Astyanax mexicanus: one gene and its partner. The protein of the gene in region 1 purifies or fractionates together with the protein of each later gene. This does not show direct contact. Links are inferred from orthologs where the notes say so. Each region holds a gene or a part of one and is shown in the gene's direction. Other genes may lie near its edges. The genes, in order: peli2 and irak1.

What was found.
Region 2: the proteins of peli2 (region 1) and irak1 purify together in Homo sapiens (affinity purification with western blotting; 7 studies listed by BioGRID and IntAct, with this or other methods). This does not show direct contact. The link is inferred for Astyanax mexicanus from reciprocal best matches to the Homo sapiens genes PELI2 and IRAK1.

What each region holds. Positions count from the first base shown.
Region 1 is NC_064421.1:22,324,617-22,335,450, reverse strand, and holds the start of peli2 (E3 ubiquitin-protein ligase pellino homolog 2), read left to right. Parts: upstream 1-6,053; 5' UTR 6,054-6,648; coding exon 6,649-6,725; intron 6,726-10,834. UniProt on the Homo sapiens protein: E3 ubiquitin ligase catalyzing the covalent attachment of ubiquitin moieties onto substrate proteins. Involved in the TLR and IL-1 signaling pathways via interaction with the complex containing IRAK kinases and TRAF6.
Region 2 is NC_064419.1:4,120,197-4,131,879, reverse strand, and holds the start of irak1 (interleukin-1 receptor-associated kinase 1), read left to right. Parts: upstream 1-7,014; 5' UTR 7,015-7,347; coding exon 7,348-7,459; intron 7,460-11,683. Other genes in the region: mecp2 (methyl-CpG-binding protein 2), read left to right, coding at 1,867-1,998.

The sequences.
Region 1 (10,834 bases):
GAAATGTTAATTCTTTGAGCCCTGTGCATGCCAGAGTCAGGGTTTGGAATCGTGATGCATGCAGTTACAGGGAACTGGAGGGAACTGAACATTGAAGACAATGTTACAGAGTTTTGGACCCCTGGTTCTGGATCACTTGCAAAGGTCTTTACAGCACCTGGGTGGCCAGAGAGGAAAGTCAAATTCTTGGGATGTTGTAAAGAAGAGTGTTGGGACAATGTAAGGGAAGCTGCTTATTTTGAATGAAAATGGAAAAAAGTGAAGATGACACATTTTTGTGATATGTTATGATGCAATTCAGTTTTTTTTTAAAGTGGTGGAGTGGTGCTTTTCACAACTTAAACTTAAATAAACAGCAGAAATGCCCCTTTTGCTTGATAAGGGGACAGCGTGGTTAATAAAAGCTTTCTTAAAACATGGGAACAAATTGGGCTTTTAAATGCTCTGGGATCATCATCCTTGTTCAGCTGAGATGACAGTACTATTCAGTATCATCTATGACAGTTTTGTTTCCCTTTGCTGTGGAATTACATGAATAGGCAGCACATTGGGAATAAGGCTGCATTCCATTTAAAGTTTTTGGAATTTCCAACATCCAGGTACATTTTATCTGGAATGGCCCCACAAGTCAGATTTTCTAAGAAAAGAGGGAGAGTCTTATTAACCCTAAATTTGGGATCCAAGATGACTGCAGCATGCAACACAGTAGTATAATACAGTGTCTCCTTGTGTCTCATTTAACCAGTTTTAAAACATAGAACTGGCCAACTTCCATCTGTGAACATGTGCGCAAAATACTATTTAATGTGTTATCTATTGTTGTTGTTAACAAAGCTAATAATGCTAACCCCCAGACATAAAAATTGGAAGATATTTTGATTGGATCCACTTTAAAACACTTAAAAATTATGGTCAACTTGTTGTAGTAAACTTGAAAACTTGAAAATCTGTGTTTAAGAATGCCATCAACTCAGGCTCAATTCTGAGGCTTCTGAGGTAAAAGGAATAAGGTATATGACCAGCTCTGAAGCACTGTAGAACTACAATTTTATTATAAAAATGCACATTATTTGGAGTGTGTGCATTGAATGTCTCACTTTGTCACTAAATAATCAGTTTAGGATAAGGTGACAGAAAACCGGTTTTCAGTCCTGATGTATAAGAGCTTCTAGGAAAGATGATCCTCACAGTAATAAATACAAAGCAGAGCTAAAGTTCCGATAGGGCCTAATCATGACTCATAAAATACAAAGAGAAAAAAACAGAACATGTAACCAAATAGGAACTACAGGACAAGAAGATAATGGGTTCTGCATTACCTCTACATTAAGATCACAAAGGGCTTGAGGGATGTAACCTGTTTTAACATGAAGTGTATATTGAACATGTTTACATATCTACAGAAGGGAGCTGAACGACACCATTGAAGTTCTAATTTAAGTTCACCTTCGGCACCTGAACTTTCCACCATTCTGTGTGAAGGCCATGACGTGCACAATAATGGCACTTTTGTGCGGTTCTTAGGTCAGCAGACTGTGTAGCACAGCTTCAGCACATTCCAGCCATTCTCCCTACATATCACACTGCAGTCAGCTGATACCAAACCTTCCCCGTGGCCCTGACCTCGTCAACATGGAGATCCTACTGCCATCCAAATCCCACAACACAGTCTGCCCAGCATAATATCAGACCAGGCCAAGTCAATGATGCGCACGATACAATTATCCACAATATGATACAGAGTACAGAGTGTCCCAAAAAGGCCTGTTTTGTTAAGACTTTATCACATGGTGACATGGTTACAGTGCTACACTCACATCATAATGCATCAAACGTAATTAAAAAAGAATAGAACAATATACTGGCAATGAAAGCAAACATTTGGAAATAAATACAATGCAGTGGTGCTAATAAGAGAACAGTATGCACTTTTGAAAACACTCATTCTTTTGGTGGTGCTTTTGTTTCCCTCCTAGTAAGGCACTACAGTTTGCCATAATAGTAGGAAACACTGATACAATATGCAGGACATTATTGTTATGTTTTTTTCTGACCTCAAAAACCTGTCAATAATAGGTGTCTGATGTTTTTTCTTTAGTTTTTTTTTTATCAGTATAACATAACTGTAGACGTACAATATCATTTACTTCACATATATTTAGGAAAAAAGGTCAACAAAAACAGTAATAACTTAAAAAAACATACTTTATGAAAATACAAAATGAGGAGGTTGCATCCATACTTTTCTGAACAGCCAAGATCTTTGGTCTATAATAATATACCCTCAGATTTTGCAATTAAACTATCTTTTATTTTTAAAATTGGACTCACTACAGTCCTAGAGGAGTATACATTGGTTCTGCACTGAGCTGTTGAGCAGTAGAACTGTGTTCTTTAGAATAATGGAGCTCCATCCAATACTTCTAGGATGAGTTTGGAAGATCAGATAAAAGGTAGGGTGGTGATCACCCAACAACCTAACCTCAATAACCCTGTTTTCCCTGAATGCAATTAAATCCTCACAACAATGCTCTAAAATCTTAAGAAAACCTTCCCTGGCACTGTGTGTACAGTACATCTGATTTTTGCACTAACTATTGCTTTGAGTAAGAGGTCAGCATGTTTAAGAGTGAAGGTCAGCAGCATTTCCAAGCATGTCATCAGCCTTTGGCTGCTTTGCGGGACTGGATGTGACCAGTCATTTTTGGAAGGTAGCTGAAAGAGAGATCATATAAACGCAGAGTAGTAGGGTATTACCATTGCGTGGTAAGCTATACCTGCATGAATCAACACCTTTCCTAATTCACCTTGAAGCACTGCTGTCATCATGTGCCTTGGGGGCAGAACATTCTCATGAGGTCATCTGTAAGAGCTGTTTTCATAGCATCAGCACTGAGCTGCTAGTTTAACACAGGCCCTCAGGTTTGCTGCACTAAACAGAAGGCATAACATTGTGTAGTAATTCCTGCATATGACCATAATAACACATAAGGGGAAGCAGTAATGATGAGTAATTGGCAGCATGCCTCACACACGTCACAATCCAGTCCACATGCCAGATGCGTCACGATTGCGCAATCCCACTTTCCGCACTCTGCGGATATGTGTCATGACTTTTGTCTTCCTGACAGTTGGGTTCTCCATTGTGCGCACTCACACGCAGAAACACTAACTGCACAGATTAAAACCAGGCACATTTCTTTTAAGAACAACAGCTTGCATCTGTAACCCATCAGGGTGGTATGTGCAACGCAAGCCTTTGATCCTTTGTCTGGAAGTGTGCTTGTGAGTGTGCTCTGGAGACTGGATCAAAGTTTCGGTATAATGTTACTGTATTCTTTTCCTGAGCCACTTTTCACACAACATCACATACACGGCGGTTGCCGTAAGTAGCTCCTGGATAAGCGGCCCGGTGTTTGCGGCATATCGTTGTTTTTCACCGGAACAAACTGTGGATTTGTTGGGGGTCTGGCTTGACTGACTCTGAATGGAGTGAACTGAATAAACATGATAATAGAAACAAAGGGAGCAGAGTTTCAGACTAGCCTGCTGTGTTAACAACAGATTAAACACAGATTAGTGTCGCAGAGATTAAAACTCACCAACTATGGTGTGATGAATGGCCATTTCAGTTCTAATCCTTTATAAATATAAAGACCAATATGTCAGTATTATGATAAGAATAAACTTAAAAAAACATATTTAGTTTATTATATGTAAAAAAAGTCCAACTCACTTTGAATGTGCAGTATATTAGCTCATTAATGAAATATCTGCATAACTGCCTTCCTATCTACAGTTTTTACAGTTTTACATCAGCTCCACACAAAATAAACAGTAACTGTAATACCTGACTGTAATACTACACATTGCCCATTCTTGAATTGCGGGTATGTTTTAGTTTGAAGGATTTGACTTATCAGTCAACTCTATTACCATTACACAGATTAAAGCAGCAGTCTTTAAGATTATTTTTCCTTTTAAACTGAAAGCTGTAATATTCCAAATTTGGTAGAAGACATATATCCTAATTAATGGTATCAGTGTCCTGGCTTAAACATCCCTAAGATTTTTACACATTTACAGCAGAGAGGTCTTCAAATCCCCAAATCCTACATAATGTCACTTTAAAAAAACTATACAGTTGACAGAAACAGAGTGGGCATTTTTCACCATGTTGTGCCTCAACTCCAAGTGCTAACTAGATTTTCTACAGCATTTTTAAATATGTCAATTTTCTACACATTTATAATTATTGAATTAAAATTTAATATGAATTTAACAAAAATAATGAGATTAGAAGTGCAACTTATCTCACTGCCTTCAACATGTTTCCTGCCAACGGAAGTGGATATATTAACAATATTTATAAAATGCCATAAGTTATTTCAGTATTCTCCACACATTTTGGGGTAATATTAAAACATTTCATTACCTGTTTACTACTACTTGCAAATGTTGTCAGAGGAAGAGAGGGCCAGACAGTGACAACTGTGCAAACTGTAGGTGACACATTCATCAGGGATGTGTGAATGACTGCACCAATGACAAATGGCAAGAGATAGACATGACTGGGAAGTTTGTTTAGTGTTATTCAGAGAGCTTATAATACACAAGGTACCAAACAATACAATATATCTGTTTTAAATAAAAAAAAACGTACAAGACAAGACTTTAAATAGATTTTAAATATACAGTTTTGTGGTGCGAATCTGTTTTTCAAGCTTACCTTGGATTGTATGTTTGAACTCATTCATGTGCACTGATCTGCTGCAACAAAGAGAGAGCTAGATGAGGATGAAGTTTATCTTAGCAGCCTGTGATGATGGTACACTACAGTGAACATTAACTGTACAGAGCCTGATGTGTTACACTATGACCTAATAAACATTTCTAAAACTTGTTGTTGCAAATAGTGTTTTTTACATGCCGTGTGCCAGTTTATTTGTCTCTGATTTGGGTCATTATTTTAACTGTGCTTGGATTCTGTGCTAAGCTGACACTGCTGAACCCAGAGAGCTGTTTTACTGCAGTTTTGTGGTTTCTTAACAGTCCAGCAAAACGGTGTGGATAAATTAGTTAAGGGTGTCTAAGAGTCTGCTTTTCTCTCAGAAATGCTGACCTGCTTTAATAAATTCTTTCCAAACATTAGGCCTACAGCTTGTTATTTCCTGTTTAAAGATGTGAAGCAGCAGAATTTTCCTCTTAAAGGAGAAATCCTGTGTGAAATGGACTTGGGCTGTGGCGAAACATGATAAGTAAAATCATTTGTTGAATATCCCACCTCTGTCCCGCCCCAGCATTCCTAAATACAGTGCTTTTAGCTGTTGTGTCCAACAGGCTTACAATAATAGCGATAGGGGTGTAGCAATCCCCATGCAAAGAAATCGTTATTTTTAAACCATTAATAAGCTCAAAATAACCTTAACTTAAATCAGGATACATTAACAGGCGTGGACAAACAAATAGGTAGGGTAGGGGAACAAATTTATAACAGAAAATTAATTCTATGGAAATGCATTAATATTGTAGAGATGTTTTCAGCAACAACAGTAATTCATGCATTTCCACAGAATTTGCAATCTGTTCCCCTATTCTACCTATTTGTGCTTGTGAATTTCCAGATTCTACATCAATATACTGTGCATATAAACAGTTTATCTGAGCACTTTAAAATGCCTCAGTGCCTTGTTTTAAATGTCAGGGCCCTCTGAATTCCACCAATGGTGGAAGCTATTTTGCTACTTTGAACTTGTTAATGGTGTAAAAATAGTGATTTTGTAAAGTTTGTACTTGTTACCATGTTTCACTACAACCCAAGTTCATTTCACACAGGATTTCTCCTTTAAATGCACTCTCACAGTCAGTGCTCCTCTATACAGATCTACAGATCATAAACGCTTTGTGATCCTTTAATGTTAGTTAGCCACATTTACTGTGGTGTAGTTTTAAGTTTTCTCCTTTTTGTGATTTGGATGACTTTTTCCTATTTTGTAATTTAATGTGGGGAGAGCTAAATAAAAACACAGAAGTGTGAGTATCCCTTTAAATATTTTCAACTGTTACTCTTTGTTTACATAATTGAAGGTGCCGCCTCAGACCGTGGCGGCCCAGGACTGTTCCACTCAGGGGGGAGACTGTACTTTCACTTCCAGATTATTTCCCTGGGAATAGGCTTGTTTTTCGGTACTGTATGTTTGGCTGAGCATTATGGATGTTTACAATGTAGCATTTCACACGTCTAAAGCAGGAAAGGCAGATTCTAATGTTTATAGAAACTGCAGTCCGTCCTCCCCCCGTATAAAGTAGGCGTAAGTGAGTGGTATGTTCCACCCCCTACCGTGTAATGTTTTTCCACTTGGCAGAGAGAACGGTGAAAGCACGAAGTTAGGCGTATTTTTGGGATTGTGAAATGTTTCTCAAACGCGCATTCTTGACTGTACGCCCTGTTTCTGATACTTGAATTCAGCTTATTTATTTTGAGAGAAGAGCAGGGTTTAAGAGGCAGCGGGAACCAGGCGGAAAATGGCTGTTAGTCTCGTCCTTTGAAGTATTTTTTCCCTGTGATCTTTTTTCACTGGACTGGCTCGACCAACTCCATCCTGAGAGACGAGTTCGAGTGGAGAAGTTTGGAGGGTTAGCAGCCTCATGTTTTCACCGGGCCAAGAGGAGCACTGTGGACCCACCAAAGAGCCTGTGAAGTACGGGGAGCTGGTAGTTCTGGGGTGAGTTGAGTTTAAAACCTTAAATAACAGCAACAGTTCATCTCCAAATAGATTGTTTTTGGTTGGAAAGTTAAGTTGAACCTCTAACGTTACTTAACTTAAGCTAGCTATCAGAGTACACGCTGTTCTAGGCTGGGATAATAATAAACATGCCTGAGATAAACGCGAACTGAGGACTGACTGGTGTTTCACTTCGTGTCTACAAAACGTTCCCATATCGGGGGGAAATCCACAGTTATCTAGGCAGTTATCTTGGTGCTTGTTTACACGGTCGGTAGCCTATAGCTAGGATAGCTATCCGAAAGAGCGAGCGGACCCCCTCCCAATCTCTCACAATTCACGCGCTCACGTTACTCAACAAATGAAACACGTGCGACGTCCCTGCGAGTATTCACCAGGCAAAAGCCAAACTTAGGCCGTGCTCCTCTTCAATCTGCCGCGCTACAGGACTGATTATTTAGATATATCTCGCATTACTTTATCCTAATTATAGCAGCTAAACACACGCCGATAATGACTTAACGCCTCTAATCACGTTAACCACATTTAGCCGAACCCAAACCCTCGCACAGGAAGAAATCTCGAGGATTCTGCGTTCAGAGCTCGCTCTCTTTCGTTCACTGTGTTGCATTAATTTCACTGAGCTAGCTAAGTAAAGCTCCACTCGCCACTAGTTCAGGAAGTTCCAGGGAGATTTAGGGCTCTGAAGGAATTCGGAAATAGGTAAGCTAACTATATTGCCCCCCCCCTTTTCCCCACAGTGACTGAGCCATTTCACTGGCCCCTTTTACAGGGGTTCTTTCTCTCAGCCCCATCATAAATCAGCTTTATTTGATAACTAGACAAGGGCTGCCTATTTGAGCGCCTTTAGAAGAGTACAGAAATGTGTTAACCTATAGTTATCCCTGTAGAGAGGGAGCTTCACCTGCACATTATGGAGTAAAAAAACACATTAACTAAATATTGTTTTTAAAAGAATATCTACATTAAAAACCTATCTTCATAAGGTATGATCATTAAAAAGAATTTTAATATGCAACTTACTATAAGATTTAAAGGCGAGATCTTATGTGAAATCGACTTGGATTGTAGTAAAATATGATAATGAGTACAAACTTTTGTCGAATAGCCCATGTCTGTTTCATTCACCCCAGCACTCCAAAGTACAATGCTTTTAGCCAATGCTTCCAACAGGCTTATAATGCTAGGGATGGGGGCATAGCCCATGCAAAGAAATAGCAATTTTTTTGCAACATTAGCAAGCTCAAAGTAGCTCCACACTTCATTGTTAGAATTCAGAGGTCCCTGACATTTAAAACAAGTGAAAGTGTACAGATAGTTTATAAAAGTTTTACAGGTTGCAAAATTAATTCTGTTGAAATGCATGAATTCCAACTGTTGCTAAAAATATCTCCAATTTTCACGCATTTCCACAGATTTAATTGTGCAATCTGTTCCTCTATCTTACCGATTCATCATTTAACCTAATTTTTTGATGGCGGCTACCATAGAACATCCTGAAGGTACTGTGTGTATAAACTGTCTTTTTTTAAATAAACTACCTGAGCACCTTCAGTATTCTCAGTATGCTTGATAATGTTGACTTTCTTCATATGGGCAATGCTATGCCCTTCCTGCTAGCATTGTAAGCCTGTTGGGAGCATTGGCTTAAATTGCTTTGTTTCAGAATGCTGGGGATAAATGTGAGTTGGGCTATTCCACAAACGTTTGTACTCCGTTATAATTATTCACTACACACAAAGTCAATTTCATACTGGTGTTCTCCTTTAAAGAACAGATAACTTATTTATGTACAAGTTTTTTTTTCTTAGCCCCTCAAAAAAAGTATAATCCTCAAAGGTACACTATGCTAAACTGGTTATTGGTCAACTTTAGTAAGTCCTCACAAAGTATTATTGTTTGTGATCCAGTGTGCTCTAGCACATCAGTTCACCCAGTTTCAGGCAAAGCTAGCAACAGTACCATGCCTTTGCTGTCCTGCCTGGCACTGCCCACTGACACACTCAGGGGAGAGTCCTCAGCTGAAAGAGCGTATTATTGATCTGTGCACAGCCACTGTGTCTCCACAGTCCTGCTGTCTCTGTTCATTGTCCTAACTGGCCTGACTGGGCTTATTGATGGGGGACTTTGTGTGACCCTGCTGGCTTCTTACTGAAGACACCTCTGGCATAGGAGTTTTATTTCCAGTGACTGATCTTTGTGAGTGAAACTAAGGAAGATGGATGTCTCTCAGCCATTGATAGTCATTGATAGTGCCCTGTTTTCAGTGTCATGTGTCTTTCTCTTTACCGAATGCTCACACACGACCCCTATTTAAACTCCTTAATTCTGATGTTTCATGATGTTGTATGATTTTTTTTGTATTGACTTTTCTTAGATATGCAGATATGCATAGCATACATATTGGTGCCAGATGGTGACCAATGGTTTGCTTTTGGAACCAAATCTTGTGCTCCTGTCTGTGCTTGATGGCATTAGCTGAAGAAAGGATACCAAAAGTTGCATTTGAAAATACAAAAGCTCAGGAAGTTTGAGAGTATCTGTGCAATGCTGTAACTCTAACCTAACAGCATTCCAGATAAGGGCATTCTTCTAACATCATTAGGATTGCAAGGGATGCACCGATGTGGGAATTCTGGGCCAATGCAATATCTATATTGCATGTACATATCTGCTGATACAGATATACACACGTAAACACAGAGATTAGACTCCCTAGTATAACTTTAAAAACAAATGTCACGTTTATTTCCCTTACATATTAGTTTTTGGCAATTAAATGCAAAAAAAAAGGTGTCTCCTGAAAGTTTGGATTCACATTAACTTAGCTGACTGGTAACAGCTTTAAACATTTCTTTTTCAAATTAACATGTTAAATAAAGCAACAGATTTATTGAAACAAATACAAATAAATAGAAATGATCTTAAATCAATGGCCAGTGTTGGCTAATTGTTGTAGTGTGGCCTCCAACATGCATATAAATAATTGTGCATCCCTAAGTATAGCAGTATGTTGTGGTAAAATAAATGTTGCCAGTAAATCTGGCTATTTTAACACTGTGTCTAGACATGTTAATTCTGTGTTCTGTCACCTTCAAGACCTGTTATTCAGTAACTGCAAATTCAAGTTCATTTCTATCTTCTGTAAATGTAAACAAACAAGAAACTTATGTTGTTTGGGAGTGAGGAGTTAAAGTATGGGCTGTAAACAATTGTTGTTTGTTTTAAGGGTTAAACATCACATGTTGCCATAAGCGTGTAAATGTTTTATTTACTCTGATATAGGGCTGGATGACATGAGAAAAAAGGCACATTATAATATATTTTTTAATTTCAGACAATATGGTATAATTCTATTGTCTGTATGAACATAAAAGCCACAGAAAAGCTGCACACAACACCCAGAACAGATGTCTAACATTAAGGTATATTGCCATTACCAGAAAAGTATATGTATGATTGTGTGTATTGGATTTAAATTATTGTCTAGCCTTAGTTTGCTATTTATTATTGGTTCACTCAGATTCTTAACTGTATAAAATTTAAATGCCTGTTTTACTCTTCCATGTGTGCAGCAAAATTCACAACAGAAATGCTCTGCGGTGGACGTGTGATTTGTTTTAAGGTGTTGCTGTTCTGTTTAGGTTCATTGCAGATGAGGAATTCCACCATATGGCTGTTGTAATCCCTCTGGATTATTTTAACTAACTTGTGAAATTCCAGCCCTAAAATGCAGTTTTTGCTCTGTGATTTGTGTCGAGAAGTGCTGATGGGTCTGTAGGAAAGGCCCCTCAGTTGAGGACAGGTGTGGCTAATCTTTTCCGCAGAGCATTGGAGGATAACTCCTCCAGCCTGTCTGCCTAAGGTCAAAAGGGAAGAAGATTACAATTAGCTAGTTTCAGCTGAGCTCTTCTGTTAGAGACGATACCATGAGATTTCCATCCCATTCATTACTCAGGCTCTTATTTCTCCTACCCTGCATTTTCAGATTCTCAGAGGGTTTAAGTAGTGTATATAAAGAGCTACTGCCCAAGAAGGTTAACAAGCCACAAACATTAAGATCAACCCTACAGCATACCTGTTGCAGC
Region 2 (11,683 bases), on another chromosome or scaffold:
CATTTATTTATCTGTTTTTGTGCCTCTGGCAGACAAATATGCTATGGAATGTCCTTGTGTCCCTGTAGCCAAAAATACATGCTATGTATGTGAACATGTATCAATATGCATGATTGCCATTAGAAGGTAGTACATTGCTTGCCCTTTACTATTCTTCGTAACGACGTTTTCGGGACGACACTTCTCTCCAAGAGCTGAGCCGAACCATCTGGCCATAAAAAAAATCTTTGAGGGTAGATTAACGAGAGCTTGAACGCTGAACGAGTTCGGAAAACGACAAGGTCACCTGTTTGTGCAATTAAGTAAAAAATATAAATAAATACAAAAAAAAATTGATAAACAAAAATTAACAAAATGTGGAAAAAAAGATAAAGTCAGTTCTTTTTTCAGCAGTTTTGTTGGACAGGAATATTTTTTGAGTTACGTTTTTCTTTTTATTATTATTATTATTATTATTATTATTATTATTTATTTAATTTTATATGTTACGACCCCGCTTGTTTATATAACCAATTAAAGAAGGTGAAGAAGAAGATGATAATGATGGTTATTAATAGTGATAATGGTTCCACACAGGCTCCTAAAGCTATTACTCTAGTCCCCAATGCAGTGGCAAAAGTATTCCAAGTAAATTATTATTATTATTATTTGTGAATCTTAGTGTTGGAATTTTAAGCCAATGTCAGGAGTAGACTATTTTACCTTAAAAGCAATAGTATATTCAGTAGATCTGATTTGCGTTTCTGTCATTCTTGTGTCTTTAGATTGTGTGCACTGTTATATATTTAAAGAAGAGAAAATAATAATAAAAAAAATGTAAAATTGAATTCTTACTACTAATGCCTGAAGTACAAATTTTAATTTACCAGTAAGTACCTGAATTTAACTACAGCACTTCAGCTAAGCTCAAAGCAAGCAAGACTGAAAGATGAAGGTCAAACAAAGTCACAGAGTCCAGTTCAGCTACAGGAAATAGGTTCCAAACTTCATCGGTAGAAAGTTCATGGTCTATTTGACATAGTCTTGTGCCTTGAAGTTTCAGTAATAGAAATTTATCTTTATACCGTAGTTGTATTTTTATTCTGAGTCCTGTGTTTTGCCTCTTGTTGGTATTCAGTGCTTTGGGTGTGTTAAGGATTTCTAGAGATCAGCGATACGTTTGCCTTGTTTTATTTTCATACGGGGGGAAAAATGCGCATTTGGAATAAATTAGGAAAAACCTTCTTGGGCAATATCGACTGTGTAAAAGGTGATAGGATCTTGGTATTTTTCATCCCTGGTATGTTGAATGTGTCTCTCGAGTCGGGTGACGTGTGTTTGTCGGGAAATGTTCTTCTTCATTTTAACATCGCGAGTTACTCGTCATTAGAGCCTGCCTCAAACTGTATCTTCCAACCACAATTTTGCATTTTATGAAAGGAATATTTCAACCACGACTGGTGACAATGAATTAAAAGATCTGCACTTTATAAAGTATGTTTCCTGGCAGGACACCCATTAACGTTTTGTATGTATTTTTTACCGTTGTCCGAAGTTGCTGTTTTTTTTTCATATGTTTTGATTTAGTTTGAAATAAAAGGGATGGGTAGTACTATGTATCTTCAAAGACAAAAAAAAAATAAAAATGAGAAAAAAAAAGTATATTATTATTATTTTAACCAAACAATCCTACAGCCTAGGTGTCACTGGTTACTCACCATTTGCCAATTTAAGTCCTTGCCTTCCTGAAAGTGAAAAGTATAGTTTGTGTCTACTTTTATAGTAATGTGTTACTGTATTATTTGTTTGCCGTATGTAACAGATACACAACAGTAAACAACATTTACCTTCTTCCTGTCTAAAATGTTTCTTTCGCTCTCGTCACAGGTGAGCTTCAGTCAGACACTGTGGCTCCGCAGCCAGATTTGGTTCGACTACTCCTCTTTTAAGGGGGTTCACTCCGATTGCTCTGTTTTTGTTTCAGTTATTTTGCCTTTTTTTGTTCTTTTTCCCCCCTAGTGGCGAGTGCTACATCATTTGCCTAGACATTTTATTATTTTTCCTTTTTTTTTTTAAGCTCACAAACTGATGTTAGGCTTAACATGAAATGTTTGAAAATAAAATGTGTATGATTGGAGGATTGCACATGTTTTAGCCCATAAATAATGCAGGTATTATGTGTTTTTATATGTGTAAAGTGCACTAGTCTAGGATAAAGACTTACAGGGTTAGTTTTCCAGACATTGATTAAGCCTAGTCTTGGATTATACAAGACTAGGCACTTTAAATGTAGATTGTCCAGTAAAAGGAAAATACAGTCTATGACTAGGCCTAATAAGTGTCTGGGAAACCGACCCTCTTTTTTTTCTCCTTTTTAACTCAAGTTGAAACAATACTTGCTGACGTTGTTGTTGAGTCAGATATTCCATTGAAATTGCATAACATTTTAATTAACCGTGGAGTTTCTTGGAAGTCAGGTATCACGAGAGGGGAGATGAGAGATGTGACATGATGGCATGAAGCCAAAAATTCAGTAGTAGTGCTTCAGTAGTGCAGTTACTCAATAGTGTGATAGGATAGAAGTAGCCTTGAAGCTTCTAATACGGGGAAGTTCCACTGAGGTCTCACATTTTTCCCTGCAGTTTCCTGTCACTGAGATATAACATGTTTTATTGTAGGTACACTTAACATAATAATATCTACAGCAGGGCTTCTCAACTGATCTCAGCCCGGGTCCTACATTTTCTAAAGATCATTAAAAATACAAATAAATAAATAAAAATAGCCTTCAAAACCCCACTTAAACATACATATGCATGCAAAGTGAATTTAAGAGCAAGTTTTTTTTTTAAAGAAACTAAAGAGGAATGTGACAAATACATGTATACAATTTACTACAATAAAATTAAATATCAAAACTGCACAAAATAAATAAGACCACAAAATGATATATTTTATTTTTCTGCATATCTCTGCATTCAGAGTACATTAGTAAGAAAGTATAAGTAGAAAATCAGGTGAGCATTAATGATTTAATTTTTTTTTTTTATTATTATTTTTTTTTTTTATGGCCAAGGATTTAAATTCCTGAAAATGAGCTACAGCATGACCATCGTCCCAGAAGAAAGCCTCGTCTGAAGCTCATGCACTAGAAAAAAATATATACTGTGTTGTGAAAAAATCCATCCAGCTGCCTGCAAATGAAGTCTCCAATTATGGACTCTGGAGTGGAATCTCAAAAGCTGCCGTGCTGAAAATGCAGCTGCATCATGCATTAATATGAGGTGTTCATCACTGACCTGAGATCTGGAACCGGGTCCCTGGAGGGGCTGGTCCTTTCACAGTGCGGCACATCCAGCTCCTCGAAGGCCCTCGAAGAATCATCTGTGGGGTGAAATCAGGTAAGGTAAACGTAGTGAGGTGTTAAACCATATATAGCAGTAATCTCACACTCTGCAGTTAAAGTTAAAACGTTGCAGAGCCAGTATATGGGTCATAGATATTTGAGGGTTTTAAAATCTTAAAAACAAGAGTAAATCTTGAGTGTAAGCATTAAAAATCTTGCGAACATGAAAATTCTTATGAAACATTTTTGTTTCCTCATTTGGTGCGACCATGAGTTATCTTAAAATATCTTAATTAATTTTCTTAACATGCTCAACATTTGTTTTACACGTTTCCAGAATTATTAGGTGTCTATAAATCAAGTGTATGCATTACTTAGGGTTTTGGTAAAAACTAATCTCATATTTTCATTCTAAAATGTGCTTAATGTCTTATTTTTTTTATTTATCTTGCAATTGAAAATTTTAAAAAGTATAAACTCGAAAATACTCTCAGCAATGAAAATTATTTAAGATTCAATCATATTTAATGCTGTTATGGTATGGGTTTCACCACGTAATGAGTAGTTACTTTAAATTACTTCCTGTGATTTAAAATTTCTTTAAAGTAATTAATAATAAATACATTTCACACAAAAAAATATTGAAACTTAATTTGATAAGATTCCCCAGAACTGTCAAAAATCACACAAGTAGTTTTTACTTTGTTTATGTACATTTTTTTTATTTAAATTTTTTTTTTTACATATGTTTCTTCAGATATACTTTGTAAATCTCACAGAGACATGTTTTATTCACAATAGAACAAATATCAGACGTTAAAGCTATTTAGAACCTACTGCAGCAATACATCTAAAAAAGGTTGGACAACAAATGGCTGGAAAAGTAAGTAGTACTAATAATAAACAGCTACAATAAGAGCACTTTACAACTTACTCTCGTGACATTAGTATTACAGCATCAATTTTATAATTACTAAAGTAGTTTTGGTACAATGGTACTATAATAATGTAAGATTTAGTAATAAATAAATAATTCAGAGTCCAAAAATAGATTTTGCCAGTTTGACTAGAGTTTTTTTTGGATGTAAAGATAAAAGGAAATTAAAATGAACAGTTCCAAAACAGAGTGAGATCTGTGGCCCAAGGACTAGGCAAAGATTAACCCTCGCAATGTTTGCCTTCAGCTCCATAAAAAAAAGTAAAAACCAATAGCAACTCCCAGTTTGCTGATTTCTACCTGAGCTCCACACTGGTGGTCTGTGAGGACATTTTATCCATTTTTTGGGCCCCTCTGACCATATCTAGAGCAGCAGTGTCTTTCACGTCTGGTGATATTTTCAGTCCATCTGACCTTTAAAAAGATATTATTTAAAAGGTTTCTGGAACATTCGTCACATTTTCGTTCGTCTTTGCTTAGTCCTGAAGGAGTCACACACAAGTTGTAAAGCATGCATCATTTTTTTTTCAAGGACAGATAACAGTCTGACTAACAGTCTGTCCTCTGCTTTAGAGAGATCGGTCTTCACAGAAAAATGCACATATATGCTGCATAAAGTCACTAAAGTCCTAAAAGTAGGTTAGAAAAAAACAAATCAAACAATTGAGACACAAATATTAAACCTGCTTTTTTTTATTAAAAGAATATTATCCAATATTTTTTACTGTATCTGTCAGTGTCTGTGGTTTGGTCACGCACTTGAACGGCTACTGGAACAATGTTTTTAAGACAGATGAGGCCAATATAGAGATTTGAATTATAAATGAGGAGCATTATGGTTGAAGAAAGAAAACAATTTCCAGCACAAAAACCTTATTTTCTCTGTAAAACACGGTTATAGTTTCATGGTTTGAGCCTTTTTTGTTGCATCTGGGCCAGGCCGGATACCAGCACATACCATCATACTGTAAATTTAATCTCAAGTGAATGTGGGTCATGCAGCAAGACAGTGACCCTACACACATAAACATTCTACCACAGGATTGAAGGAATGTGCTTAAAATGTGCTAAAGTGGATGTGTAGGACTGAGCAACAGTTACTGGAAACATTTAGTTGCACTTATTGGTGCACAAAGGAGTCACAACAGAAACTAAAAGCATGTTCACATACTTTTGTTGCTCACAAATACTGTATGTAAGACTGGATATTTGATTTTGATGTGGCTCTCCTTATATACTTTTAAGATATGTGTCAAAAACTGATTAAAGTATAGCTTGTAAGTTCATCTCAGAACACATATTTAGCTTCACTGGCTGTTTTAGTTGCTACATTAAATAGATATATTTGTGTTGCAGACCTAGTCACTACTGTTCTAGAAAGACAGTACATAAATTACTGTAACAGGGTTTCTCCACCATGAACCGCTTAAACCATTTTACACCACCGAACCGCCAAATCTGATTAGATCTCCAGAATTGACTCATGGAGGTGGAATCTCCCTTCATCAAAACATGCTGAACACTCTTACTTTTTACCTACTTCTAGACAGAAACTGAACTCAACCTCTTAAATAAGTGTCATGCAATTTTGCTTATGTCATGCAGTCATGTATAGGACTGGACAATAATTAAATATCAATATTTATTCTGATCAATATTTCAATAACAGTGGTGCAATTGTACTACTGTACTCTACCCAAACAGCATCATTTTGATACACATTTCAATACAGTATGAACCAATTCAGCTGTAAAATTGGTGACATAATGTTAAAAAAAATATAAAAATCATCAAAAAAATAAAATAAAATAAAACATTTTATGAAGTTTAGCATTTAACATTTAAAATAAATACAATTTTGAAAAAAATTGTGATTTATAGCTCTGGAAATAAAATTAAGAGACCACTTCAGTTTCTGAATAAGTTTCTCTGATTTTGCTTTTTATAGGTATATGTTCCAGCAAAATGAACATTGTTGTTTTATTCTATAAACTACAGACAACATTTATCACAAATAAAAATATTGTCATTTAGAGCATTTATTTGCAGAAAATGAGAAATGGCTGAAATAACAAAAAAGATTTTAGGCCTCAAATAATGCCAAAAAACAAGCTCATATTCATAAGTGGAATAACCCTGGTTTCTAATCACAGTTTTCATGCATCTTCTGAAATGAGGAATGTTCTCCTCTGCCAGTCTTGGATAACTTTATGCCACTCCTTGTGAAAAAATTCAAGCAGTTCAGCTTGGTTTGATGGCTTGAATTTGTGTGCCAGGAGTGGCATAAAGTTATCCAAAAGCAGTGTGTAAGACTGGTGGAGGAGAACATGCCAAGGAAACTGTGATTAAAAACCAGGGTTATTCCACCAAATATTGATTTCTGAAATCTTTGCATTATTTGAGGTCTGAAATTTGAGGTCCCCTTTTTGTTATTTCAGCCATTTCTCATTTATTGCAAATCAATACTCTAAATGACAATATTTTTATTTGTAACCACAGTGTTCATTTTACTCAAACATATATATATATATATATATATATATATATATATATATATATATATATATATATATATATATATAGTTAAATCAGACAGACTGATCGGATTTATTTATTTATTAATTCATTCTTTGGTCCATATAGCCCAGCACTAATCACCAATAACTACAGTTTATGTAGATAGAAGTTCACAGCCTGGAAGTGGGCTAGCTAAGTGAGGAAAGAGGAAGTGTAAAACAGTGGGTTATACAGATATAGAGCTTGCTGAAAAAAAAAAAACACACACACACGGAGAGGAAAGTAGCTAACCTTGCCAAGCATGACACAGCATGGCTGTGGGAGAACACAGCCCTGCTAAACTGGGATTCTCAACCAGTCAGTCACCTAGAACGGACGGGAATTTATGTCAAACTCGTACTGCTGCTGGACGGGCTTGGATTACTCACTGCTCTTCTGCCCGCTGGGAGCCGTTCACTCGGTTCACTCCGAGCTCATGTGGAAATAACTCGGGCTGCTTTAGCCACGCTAGCTGCTGAAACATCTTAAAATCTTCCTACAGGGTTTAACACATCGCCCAGCTCCAGAAATGTCCGATATGAGACTTTACAGCGAATATATCTACGATTTACCAGCGGCTGTGGTGAATGAATTTACCCGGGTCATGGATTCGCTGCCTGTTTCGGACTGGCTGAGATTTGGTAAGGATAAATTAGCGTTAACAAAACGTTAAGTTAATTTTTAAGTTATTCAGGGTTATTAAGCCACGTAACTTCGCTTTATTTGAGCTGTTTTAGCTAACTGACACGCTTTAGTTAGCGTTAAGTTTTGATGTAGGTGGTGTTTTATCGAGTTGTGCTCCCCATAGATATGTGCTACTATGTTTTCATGTGTTTTTCCCTAGAGGTGGATAACCCAGGTCCAGAAAGCAAAAATCCATCCCAGGGTTTTGTACCAACTGCCTGGGCGGCTCTTCCGCAGCTTGGCTTGGTTGGCAGTTGGTACAAAACCCTGGGATGGATTTTTGCTTTCTGGACCTGGGTTACTTACTTCTAGTTTTTCCTGATAATTTAGTTAATTTAAGTTAATTAATTAATTAATTTATTTATTTAGTACAATCTGGACTCACACTCATATGGATATATATTTTACTTGAGTGTTACAACCGTGTAAAAAATAAAAATAAAAAAAGTTATAAAAAATATAATAAAAATATAACTATATATATAATAAATGTTTTTAATCACCTAACATATAGTGCTTTAACTTTATTCTAATTTGTACACTTAAACGTACACACTAGGGTAGCACGGTATTAGAACTTGACATGGTATTAGAACTTGACAGAACACAGGTTATTGAATTGTTAGCTAGTTAGCTAAGCTAGCTAACATAGCTTAAAACAGTGTTGTACAAGGCTAGCCTGGCTAGCTGGCTAACTTCCTCAACGTGAGTGAAAGTTAAGGGGTTAGTTAGCCAGTTAGCTCGCTAGGTTATTTAGCTAGCTCTATGACCAATAATAATGATAATTTAGCTAGCTAACTCAACTTACCTTAGTTGTGCTGCTATTAATATTAATTAGCTTAAGTTTCTGACTAAATTATGCCTCTAATTAAACCACTTGTCATTGCTGTTAACGTTACCCTTCAAAGCTAAACATGTCATCTGGTCAAACGACTAAAAGTAGTTTAGGTCAGTTAGCTAATTAGCCTGGTTAAGTGTTGACAGTTAGCTTAGCGTATCTAGATATGTTAAATAGTTAACCCACAGTTTATCTACAGTTTTTGTTTTATTTAAACATCTGCCTAAATAAAGGCTGTATTGGATATTTTAATACACTGTTGCTTTAAAGTTAATGAACCCTCTAGAATTTTCTAGATTTCTGCATAAATACGGCCTTGTTTTATTAGTGACAATCACTTAAAATATTTGTCAAAGCAATATTGATTACATTTTTTAAATGCTGGATATAAACGCAGGATTTGTACGGTCATGAAAAACCTGTAAAAGTAATGGAACTTGAAAATAGCAATTTTCAGTCCTGGATAAGTTTTGGAAAAATAATAATGACCACAAAGTTTTTGAAAAGTCATGGAAATTTGGTCTACAAATCTTTATATTTCCGTTTATAGATGGAGAAAATGTTTTAGTTGATTTTTGGTTTTATTGTCCATGTCTGCACTGATGTTTTAAAAATCGTATGGTCATGAAATTTGCCCGGAGGGCATTACAAAAGTCATGGAAATATAATGGAAATGTATTGATTAAAACGTGTATGAACCATGTAAACTATATTTTTGGGAATATGACACACATAATGGTGTAGTATGGTTTATATCTGGCAGACTAGATCCTTTTTTTCTGTATTATAATATCTCAGGGTAGTTTTGATGCTTTTAAACGGACTAAATCATGGTTAAATCATTATTTATTTACTTGAGAATGGAACAAAATAATGATGTAGTGTGCTTTACACCTGGAAGACTTCTTTTTACTGTATTATAATATCTCAGAGTAGTGTTGATGCTTTTTAAACTAGAATATTGTTGTGTGTAAATGTGAGTTACTTAGTGTAATGGAGAAAATAAATGCCAGGGTAGCTCCATATTCAGCTATTAATGTAAAAATGACACATTTCGAGTAGGCTGAAAATATCATCTTGCAGTTGTGAATGTTTTCAACACTTTATTGCTCACCATTGCAAATCACTGAATTCAGGTGCATAAAGCCAAATATAAATTGGGTAGATAAAAAAAAAAATTGGATTAGATGTTCTCATTTGTAAACCCTCTAGGATTTTCTAGATATTTTCTTCTTCATAAATATGACTTTGTTTTATTGGTGCTAATGTCTTGAAATAATTGTCACAACAATATTCTGTATTCTGAATTCAGGTGTATAAAACCAAGCAGCTAGGCATGCAGATATCTACAAACATTAGTGAAAAAATGGGTTGCTCTCATGACCTCAGTAAATTCCAGAATAAATGAGTAAATTAGGCAGATTTTTAAATAATGGATTGGATATAATAATATATAGTTGTACTTGTAAGTTTGTGAACCTTATAGAATGTTTTAAATTTCTGCATAAATAAGACAATCATGTCTTATTAGTACCAGTCCCTTCAAATAATGGTAAAAATCTTAACAATATTCTGTGATTAAATCATGGATGAAATCAGGATTATGTACTTAACTGTATTTTTGGGAATGGGACAAAAATAATGGTGTTTGGTTTTTACACCTGTCAGCCTAGATTCTTTTTTTATATAATATATAATATCTCAAACATATTACTGAGTTTAATGGAGACAATAAACGCTAATGTAGTAGTTCCATATTTCACACTCAACAGCGGAAACATGACATCAGCTGTATGTGTTTGTGTGTGCGTGACCACATAAGTGTGAGAGACAGAAAAAGAGAGCATAAACTTCAGCATAAATAATAGATAATCTACCTTCTGATCTCAACAGTAAGCATTGCTGTTTTATATCCCTAAAAATAAAACTGCTAATGTATTACCAGACTCTTTCAATTTTGTCACTAGATTAATTTGCCCTCAAAGTTACTGTATAGCTGTAATACCTCATTAAATGAGAAGAGGTGTATACAATTTTTTGAATGGTACTGTCTATATAATATTGTAATGTCAATTCATTGTTGCAGTTGGAGCACAGTTGTTTCAATGTAGTAATGGAAAACTGAACGTTGACTCACTGTCCTTGGTATTCATTTTTTACTGGTAAAAAACTCCAGTTCAGAATCTTTGTAATGCAGTTTTTTTACTAAAAAACTCTAGAAATTCTATGGAAATCTATTAACTTTTTACTAGTAATATTATCAGATCTACAGATCTACAATGTCATGCTGAACAGTCATATGAGAACCACATACAAATCCTTCATGTAATTATGACTAGTCATATGTTTCCATTAGGGGTGGGAATCGATTACTATCTCACGATTCGATTCGATTCCGATTTTGGGGGCCACGATTCGATTCAAAATCGATTTTTGATTCAAAACGATTTGAATTATAAAAATTTCTGCTTCTGGCTTATGAATCTTATTGAAAAAAAAACCCTCCATAATATACACTGGTCCTGGAGCAAGTAATGTGTTACAAAAACAATAAAATGTGCAGGAATGTGGGTCCTCAGTGACAGAGGAATCACTGGGATATCACAATGACGTTAATGAACAATAAATAAATAATAAATAACACTGCTTTATTACAAGGCTACTAGCGGTGGTGTGTAGGTGACGCTGCTGGGCTGATGTGATGATAGCAGTGGAGCGCTAAAGTTCAGGAGCAGCTGCTGATTAACTAGTTAATTTAAGGTCGTTGTATTTCTTCAGAAAGGGGGCAGGAGGTGGAGAAATTAATTCATATTGTCCATTCCTTAATTCCTCTGTGATGAGGAGCTGAAATGAGCTCTGATTAGCTTATTGTTATTTTTCCGTTCCGCCTTAAATGCTGCAGCCCGCAGCCACCTGTAGCGTTATTTAAGGTGGAACTGGAAAGTTAGCTTGTTAGCTAGCTAACAGTTACTGAAACTAACTACTAGCGATCTTTTTTATGCTTGTTATGAAGCATTCTGCCATAAAACATTAAAACTACACGTTAATCTAAGGTAATATAGTGCTTGTTCTGCCATCTTACCGGTGATTCTCAAACACCTACTACGCTCTGTGTGGGTCTGGAAGACCTCGGTTTGAAGGGACAAGCGGGTTGCCAGGTCCAACAAAAATACCCAGCCCAAAATCAGTCCAAAACCCGCCCCTCAGAATCGATTTTGGGACATTTTAAATCGATTCTGAATCGTAGTAAATGAGAATCAAGATTCTTATGTGAATCGATTTTTTGGCACACCTCTAGTTTCCATTGCATTTACACTAAATCTCAGTCTTTCTTATTTCTTTC